2 linked regions of the Macaca mulatta genome follow. The protein of the gene in region 1 interacts with the protein of each later gene in a pairwise test. Links are inferred from orthologs where the notes say so. Each region holds a gene or a part of one and is shown on either strand. Other genes may lie near its edges.

Region 1 (4,182 bases):
GCAGGGATGAAGCCCCAGTTTTGGCTGCAGACTCTGTCCTGAGCACTGGGCCGAACCTGCTGCCTCTGTCTACATCTCCTCCCACCCCCTCCCCTGCTGCCAGCTGAAGTCACTCAGGCTGAAAATAAAAATGCTCCCCCCACCCCAATACTTAGCCTCAGGAAGGTTAACTCACAAGAGTCCCTCTTTCACAAAAGGGTTATTATCAACTGTGGGCCTCTGGAATGGGGGAGGGGCAGTTGTTGGAGGAACTTCTGGCTGGGAAGGGGTCGGGGTGGCAGTCACCTGCATCGTCCTGTGAGTGTGCAGGAGAAGGGGGTCTATGTCCCATTCACTCACTCCATACTGGGGCCATCTGCCTCCCAGTGGACTTCGGACTGGGTGTCGGGGCTGACCAAGTCCACCCAGCAGGGAGGGTCCTGGGCTCTCAGCTGTCACAGCCCACCCTAGACACCGCTCCTCCTCTGTCTGGTGTCTGCTCCCAGCTCAAGGTGGGACCCAGGCAAGGTGTGCCCCTCTTCTCCCACTCCCCAGCAAAGTCTCCCTTTTGTGAGTGTAGCTGCCAGTACCTAGGTGAATGGTTGAGTCCCCTCGGAGCCTTCCCGCTCCTTGGAGGCACACCTCCAACTGACCTCCGCACTTCCCCCAGAGGCACAAGGTCCTGGGATTGGGCCTTTTAGGACACTCTTGGCCGTCCCCTCCACGCCCCCCAGAGTGGGGCAGTGCATAGGTGGGGCACGGCCTGAAAGTCAACCTAACCCACCCCCGCCCCGCGCAGTGGAGGCAGAAGTCCGGGATTCGTCCCTGACCGGTCTCGGGCCTGGTCTAGTAGGGTCAGGGCAGAGCGAGTCCAGAAGCGCCGGGTCACTTTACAGATGGGGAAACTGAGGCCAGAGAAGGCGTGGCCCCGGGACGGGCTGGCTGGTGGCCGGGCTCCGTTAGCGGCCCAGCCCAGGCCCTAGGCCGCCGGGGGCCGCCCCTCAGCCCAGCCGCGCGCTTCCCGGGCGCGCTCCGCCCTCGCCGCGGGCCCGGGCGGCCGCGCGGTGGGGACGCCCCGGGCGGCGGAGGCGGATGTGGGCGGGCGGCTCCGGGCGCGGGGCGGGCGCGGGGCGGGGAGAGGGCGGGCCGGCGGCGGCGGCAGGACCGAGCGCGGCAGGCGGCCGGCCCAGCGCAGCCAGCGCGGCCCGAAGGACGGGAGCAGGCGGCCAAGCACCGAGCGCCGGGCACCGGGCACCGAGCGGCAGCAGCACGCGAGGCCCGGCCCCGAGCAGCGCCCCTGCCCGCCGCGGCCTCCAGCCCGGCCCCGCCCAGCGCCGGCCCGCGGGGATGCGGAGCGGCGGGCGCCGGAGGCCGCGGCCCGGCTAGGCCCGCGCTCGCGCTCGGACGCGGCGGCCCGGTGAGTCCCCGCCCGCCGCGGCCGCCCGGGCCCGGATTTCCTCCCCGCGGGCCGGGCCGCTTTGTTCCCGGCCGGTCGGGCCGGGGCGCGAGCCGCGGCGCCGCCAGAATGGAGGAGCGGGAGCAGGAAGTGGCCGAGCGGGCCTGGGCGGGGAGGGCGCGGGGCGCGCGGGCCCGGCCAAGGGAGGGCGGCCCCACGCCGGGCGCCAGGGGTGCAGGCTGCCGGCCCCAGCCTCCCTCATGACCTTGGGGAGGCCGCTCCACCCGGCGAGGCCGGGGCCCGGGAGAAGGGGCGCTGCCGGGCCTGGGGCTGGGGCTTGGGGTGCCCCTGCGGGCCGTGGGGCTCCCCGGGCGTTGGGCCAGCGAGACAGCCGGCGGAGGTGCCCCGGGGTTAGGAGAAAGGCTCGCCGCGGCCGGCCTTCAAGTTTGTGGGAGGGCCCCGGAAGGAGACTTCATTTCCCACGGACAAAAAGTTGTACGTGGTGGCGGGGTACCCAGGCTAGCCACAAAGGACTGACCCTCCTGGGCCCCGGAACTGCTTCCTGTCTTGGGTGGGCCCTGGAGGTCCTGCCTGCTCGTCCCAGAGGCCGAGGCTTAGAGGGCAGCTGGGGCTTGCCCCTTAGATTGAGTATCCTGGGGCGCTAGCGAGCCTTGGTCCTGTCGGGACGGCCCCTGAGTGCTGCTGTGGTAAGCGGGGTTGGCTTGGGCCCCTGCTCTGTAGCCAGAGGCCGCCCCACATTCACTCCTGGGTCTCTTGGCCTTGCTCCAGGTGGCCACTTCTTGACTGCTTTGAGTCCCTCATCCAAGCAAAGGGCGGAGTGCATTGGTGGAGGCCCGGTTCCCTCTCCCCGGAGCTGTATAGACTTCTCATACACCAGGGTTCTGGAGGCAGATGGAGGAACCCTTTCGAAACACAGAGTATTTTTTTTTTTTAAGTTGTGACTTAAATAATAACAGCAGCAAGAATATGTGCTTATGGTAAAGGCAGGTGGCAGGTACGGAGGCTGTGGGAAGTTGGGGTCCCTCCGCCTCCACAGGCAGCCCTGTACTGGCCTGGTGTATATGTTTCTGTGCAGACGTACACCACCCTGTGTGTGCACAGATGTATTTTTACACATGGCTCTGGACAGCTGTCTGACTCTGTCAGCAGCAGGCCTTGGAGGGACGCAGGCCCTGGTGGGGGGTGGGGGGACATCCAGAGGTCTTTGAGTCCAGCCCTCTGCCTCCAGGCCACGCCCACTCTGTCGTCAGAGCCCCCTGTGCCTGAGGCGTGCGCGGCTGGGAGCCCTGCCCTCCTCAGGTCTGGCCTGCTTTCCATCCTGCTGAGTACTTGGGGCATTTCCCTCTTTGAGCAAGGTGTAGTCTTCCCTGTCCTGGCATTAGACACGAGGCAGTGGGCCTTCCTGCCATTCTAAATGTAGCTTAAGACAGTCAGTGCAAAGCACCCCTCTGTGGGTGTCCAGCCCAGGCCTCAGGAGGCCAGAAAGGTTGCCTGGCGGGAGAGCATCTTGGCTGACTGTGGAAAGACCCATGTTGGGGTCCATTCCACAGAGGTCGTCAGGTATCTCTGCCTGGCCTGGAGGTCCCAGAGAGGACCCTCCTCCCCTCAGGAAGGCCCGTCTGGAAGGGTAGCAGAGGACTGCTCACAGGAAGAGCATGCCAAGTGCTCTTTCTCGGGATGCCAGGAGTTGGTGATGTGGGAACTGGGTTTTGAGGGATGCCTAGGAGTTCATCTATCAGAGGGGAAATGAGGAAGCCATGCAGGATCAATGGATAAAGTGTGCTCAGGTGAGGGCTGGCTGGTGGGCCACTGCAGGGTAGGGGCCTGTCCAGTGCTCCCCCACTTACTTGCTGCCTCCCGACTGCTGTAATTATGGGTCTGTAACCACCCTGGACTGGGTGCTCCTCACTGACCGACTTGTCTGAACCTCTCTTTGTCTCCAGCGCCCAGCACTGGGCCTGGCAAAGCCAGAGACGCCTGGTACACGTTGGCCAAATGAATGAACCAGATTCAGACCGGCAGGGGCGCTGTGGTTTAGGAGGGGCCTGGGGTTTCTCCCAGGAGGTTTTTGGGCTCGCCCTGGAGGGCTCTGGGCTGCCGTTTGCGCCAGTGGCCTGTATCCTGGTCCAGTCTTCTTCATGTTTGAATTTCTTTGCTTTCCTAGTCTGGGGAGCAGGGAGGAGCCCTGTTCCCTGTCCCAGGATCCATGGGTAGGAACACCATGGACAGGGAGAGCAAACGGGGCCATCTGTCACCAGGGGCTTAGGGAAGGCAGAGCCAGCCTAGGTCAAATAAGTCTCAAAGGGACTGCCTGGAGGAGGCAGCCTGTCAGCTGGTGCATCAGGTTAGGCAGGCTGGGAAGGCCTTTTGGGGATGGGGATGATTTGTCCAAAGGCTCAGGGAGGTGGGAATGGGGAGGTGAGCAAGGCAGCAGCTCTCAGGGCCAGGTTGTTGAGGGGAGTGGTGGCAGGGGCTGGGGACTCAGCCTAGAATGAGGAGAGGCCCAGGTCCAGGGAACTGTGTTCAATTACGTGGATTTTACACTTGGCAGCTATGAGTGTTTTGGGGGGAGGTAAGGCAGGCCGGCAGTTGGGGGTCAGAGAGCCTAGAGGGATGGCAGCCCACCTGGGAAGGCAGGTGCAGGTGGAGCCCCCAGGCACGTGCAGTGGGTCTCCGACTCACCCTGGGCGAGGAGCTTCCCTTAGCCTGGCATGGCCTCACACTCAGCTTCCTTTGCTTCTCCCAGAGGCTGTGGCCAGGCCAGCTGGGCTTGGGGAGCGCCAGCC
Region 2 (4,015 bases), about 9.2 Mb from region 1:
GAGGCGGGAGAATGGTATGAACCCAGGAGGCAGAGCTTACAGTGAGCTGAGATTGCACCTCTGTACTCTAGCCTGGGCGACAGAGCGAGACTCAAAACAAAAAAAAACAAAAGGCAATGGGAACTGAAGTACTCGCTGAAACGTGAAGTTGTGAAGTACTGTGTAGATATGAGCAGCTGCGATAAAGGGGGCTCCCAAAGTGGTAAGGGAGAGACATGGGTGCCTCCAGGAAGACTCTCCCATCCCTGGGAGGCCTGAGATGGCAGCAGTCGGGGAGGGGTTAGCACTGCCTTCATGGAGAACGGGTGGTCTTTCCTTCTGGTACAGCCACTGTGGACTAAGAGGGGTCAAGCCCTGGTCAGTGGAGCTCACCGTGCCACACTCAGTCATCTGGCAGCAGCTCGAGAAGCATGTCCTCCACGCCGTCAATCTGAGAGGCAGACAGAGAAGGCATTGATCGGCCAGAGCCCTCCACTCCCTCCATTCCTCACTCCTGCGCCTTCCCCTAGCTGGAAACAGCAGGTAGGAACCCAAGTGTGAATTTCAGGGGCTCTCGGAGACTGCTCCTCCTCCCACCAGCCTTCAGCCTGTGGCTGCCCACGGGAGATGTCTTCCTGCGGCCAGCTGGGGGGCTGGGAGGAAGGGGAGGTAGGGTTCTGTTAGATACCTCAGAGGATCTATCTTCTCTCTGGGAAAGTCCTTTAGAAATCCTCAGTTGTCCATTCCCCCCAATTTTTGATGCTTTTGGGACTGGGATGGAGGGAAGATAAACCACTAAGGCCAGACACGGAGGAGGGGAAACCCAAGATCACCCGATGGATCCCTGGGAGAAGCACACTCGCCTTGATGTGGTACACTAAGCGCCAGAAACTGGAGTCTGAGGATCGGTATCGTCCATCAGGGTAGAGCTGCCACAAGATAGGCAGCAAGCTTGGGCCTATCTGGGTGGGGGTCATAGGATTCCCCAGGATGATGTCTTCCTGACGAAAGAGCACCCGTAACCTATCCTCTATCTGAGGAGAAGAAGAGCACAGGGCATACTTTCAGGTTCCGCTTGCCAGGGCTCCTCCAGGCACAGAAAACCAGAGTCCTTCCTGCCAGCCACCCACCCATTTGGGCAGGGGTCCGAGTATGAAATGACGGTCATCACTGTTCCCTGAAGCTCACTTCCTTAGGCCATGCATGCTCCTCTCAGGGACTCTGGCTGGGCCAGGATCACCAGCACGCACATGTGTCTAGCCACCCAGACAGGGCCATGAAAGGCACACTTTTTTTCTGGCGGGTTGCAGTGGCTCACACTTGTAATTCCTGTGCTTCGGAAGGCCGAGGCAGGAGGATCGCTTGAGGCCAGGAGTTTAATCAGCCTGAATGACGGAGCGAGACCCTGTCTCTACGGAAAAAAAAAAAAAAAAAAAAAAAAAAAGACAAAGAAAGAAGAAAGGAAAAGAATACTGGCCTTTTCAATGATGTGAGGCAAAATCTGTCCCACAGTTTGCTAGTGGGTTTTTGTGTGGCATTTATCATGATTATATGAAAAACTGTCTGGTTTATGATTCTGGTGTCACGTTGAAGAGATTTCTCAACCAGAGATTTAAAAAAAGAAATTCACCGAATATTCAGATTATTTCTTCAAATTTTGATTTTAAAAAAGTAAATGTTTAACTTGATTATTAAAGTAAAAACATATTTAAAAAATTGAAGTGCCAATAAAAATGCAAATTTTGGTGGTGGTTAACAGCCTAGAATTCCAACCCCATTACCTACTAGCAGCCCTACCTTGGACAAATGTACATTTTTGTGCCTCAGTTTCTCATCTGTAGAGACACAGTTAACACTCAATAATTTTTGATTGTTTGCTACTGGACATACATGTTCTAATTTGTTTTAATTTTTTATGCTTTCTTCAGTCTATGTTTGGAAAGAGTTTGAACATTTTTTGACTCTTTTTCATCGAGTAAATCCAAATACTTGTAAAAGAGTTATATATTTGTTTAACAAAAACTTAACATGGACTAAGGACCCATCTTAAGGCATCACACATAAAACAAAGTCAATATTGATTCAATACCGGCGCTTATACTACGACATCACTTGTTAAATTTGTTTTCTAAATAAAGCACAGAGGTCATGGAAAATACTTCACACTCTAGGGCAGTGGTTGCTATGCCTGGTTGACGTGTTCTTTTGAGCTGTTGAGGGTTCTTTTTAAAATACAGATTTCTGGGACCCACCTAAGATGATTCCGATAATCGGCCGTATGGATGAGTCACTTAGAGATACCCATTTTTAAGGATTAGGACCCCGAAGCCCAGAAAAGCCCTACTGTAGTCAACATATAGTCACACTCCACAGGCACTGGGTCCCCTCCTTTGGCCGACATTTCTTTGCGGTTTTCCCACCCTTTTTCCCTGCCTGGAGAACTCCTATTCATCCTCCAGAGCCCGGCTCAAAGTGGCTTCATCTGTGGGGATCCTCCCTGCCCCACAGTGGGTGCTTCTCAAGGCCTCACCCTTCCTAGGGCATCTCAAACTCCCGGGGGCTGCCCCTGCTGCCTCGCCATCCGCTCCAGAGCTGGCTGTACCTCAATGGTTAAGGGCAGCCAGGCGCGCTGCTTCTCGTCCAAATATACGAACTTGTCCCAGGCCCACAGGCGGTCCGGGTGGTCGGTGACTTCCTCCCCACGTAACGGGCACTCGGCCATGGCACCCTCGGGCCGCCTAAGAAGCAAGAGCCAGAGCCTCTCCAGGCTGCTCGCTGGTCCCTGGGATGTGGGGCCGACGCTTTATATCCGGGCAGCATGCGGCCGCCACCAAGCGGCGGGGCGGGAGGACGGCCTTGGGGCGGGACCCTGGGTCGGGAGGACGACCTGGGGGCGGGGCGTAAGGCAGGATGGGGCGGGGTTTGTGGGGGTCCCGGTGGCAAGCGAGGGTCCCACGCAGGCGCTACGTCCCGGCCTGACTGGCTCCCTGGAACGGTGGCAGCGCCTGGGAACGGAGACCCAGCCCTGGCTGACCCGCGGCTTCCTCGAGGCCCCGGCCAGCAGCGACCCCGACCGCCGCCCTCCGCTGCTGCTGGAGAGTCACCCGGGGTGACCTTGGCCCTTTCTTCTTCTGGGAGACCCCGCCGCTTCCCTCGGCTGCCGGACCGGGACTATGGGCCTCTGCTGGGAACTCACAGTCGACGCTAGGATGCCCAGAGCCGGGACCCAGTCCTCATCTTCTGGGATCAGAAGAGACCCACGCGGGCCTGAGTTAGGCCTGGGCTTTCCCGGGTTCCCTGGATCTCCTCCAGCTTGTGCCTTTGAGTGTCAGGGTCCATTTCTTGGCAAAGAACAACTCCTGACGCTCCGTCTTCCATACACAAAGCATGCGTTTTCCGCAGGTCTGATGATGCTGTGGACATCTAATAGCTATTACAAAACGGAGAAACATGGGTTTTTCCCCTTGGGCTTTGAATTTACTAGTGAAAGCATAGTTCAAAATGAATACTTAAAAAGAAACCCCTCCTTCCACCCTAAGATCAATGGATTTGAAAAGTCCTTGGTTTATATTATCAAAACCATCCCTCTGTAAATTACAAGCAATAAGGAAAACAATTTCACTTTATTTTGCAGTAACACATTCCCACTAAGGCAATTAAGAAAGTCATGCACAATGAAAAACATGTGAAACCAGCTCCAACCTGGTTCAAACATCACCATGGAACGGAGTTTGGTGTCTCACCTTCTAGCTCTTTCCTGGTTCTCTGACCAGGCACTAAGAAAATAATTTGTGATCCTTTGAAATATCACAAAAGTGGAAATTAAGAGATCTGATGAGGACATCTGATTCACTTGACAGCTGGATATCTGCCTCTTTGCCTATCCAGACAGCCTAATTCCCAAGAAGGAGCTGAGGTGGCCTAAGGTAGTCGAGATATAACGGGATTTACCAGGAATACAACATAGAAGAGAAAAGTCAAGGGCAGTTGGGGGTGGAGCGAGAGCCCTTAAGCTCAGCAAACCTCTTTTCCACTG

What was found.
Region 2: the proteins of AKT1 (region 1) and TCL1A interact in binary tests that used the Homo sapiens proteins (3 or more experiments, as listed by UniProt). The link is inferred for Macaca mulatta from reciprocal best matches to the Homo sapiens genes AKT1 and TCL1A.

The regions. Positions count from the first base shown.
Region 1 is NC_133412.1:178,232,774-178,236,955, reverse strand, and holds the start of AKT1 (RAC-alpha serine/threonine-protein kinase), read left to right. Parts: upstream 1-1,382; 5' UTR 1,383-1,396; intron 1,397-1,603; exon of another isoform or gene 1,604-2,082; intron 2,083-2,535; exon of another isoform or gene 2,536-3,183; intron 3,184-3,560; exon of another isoform or gene 3,561-3,740; intron 3,741-4,142; 5' UTR 4,143-4,182. UniProt on the Homo sapiens protein: AKT1 is one of 3 closely related serine/threonine-protein kinases (AKT1, AKT2 and AKT3) called the AKT kinase, and which regulate many processes including metabolism, proliferation, cell survival, growth and angiogenesis.
Region 2 is NC_133412.1:169,015,148-169,019,162, forward strand, and holds the start of TCL1A (T-cell leukemia/lymphoma protein 1A), read right to left. Parts: upstream 2,801-4,015; 5' UTR 2,702-2,800; coding exon 2,582-2,701; intron 1,014-2,581; coding exon 843-1,013; intron 431-842; coding exon 383-430; 3' UTR 373-382; intron 1-372. UniProt on the Homo sapiens protein: Enhances the phosphorylation and activation of AKT1, AKT2 and AKT3. Promotes nuclear translocation of AKT1. Enhances cell proliferation, stabilizes mitochondrial membrane potential and promotes cell survival.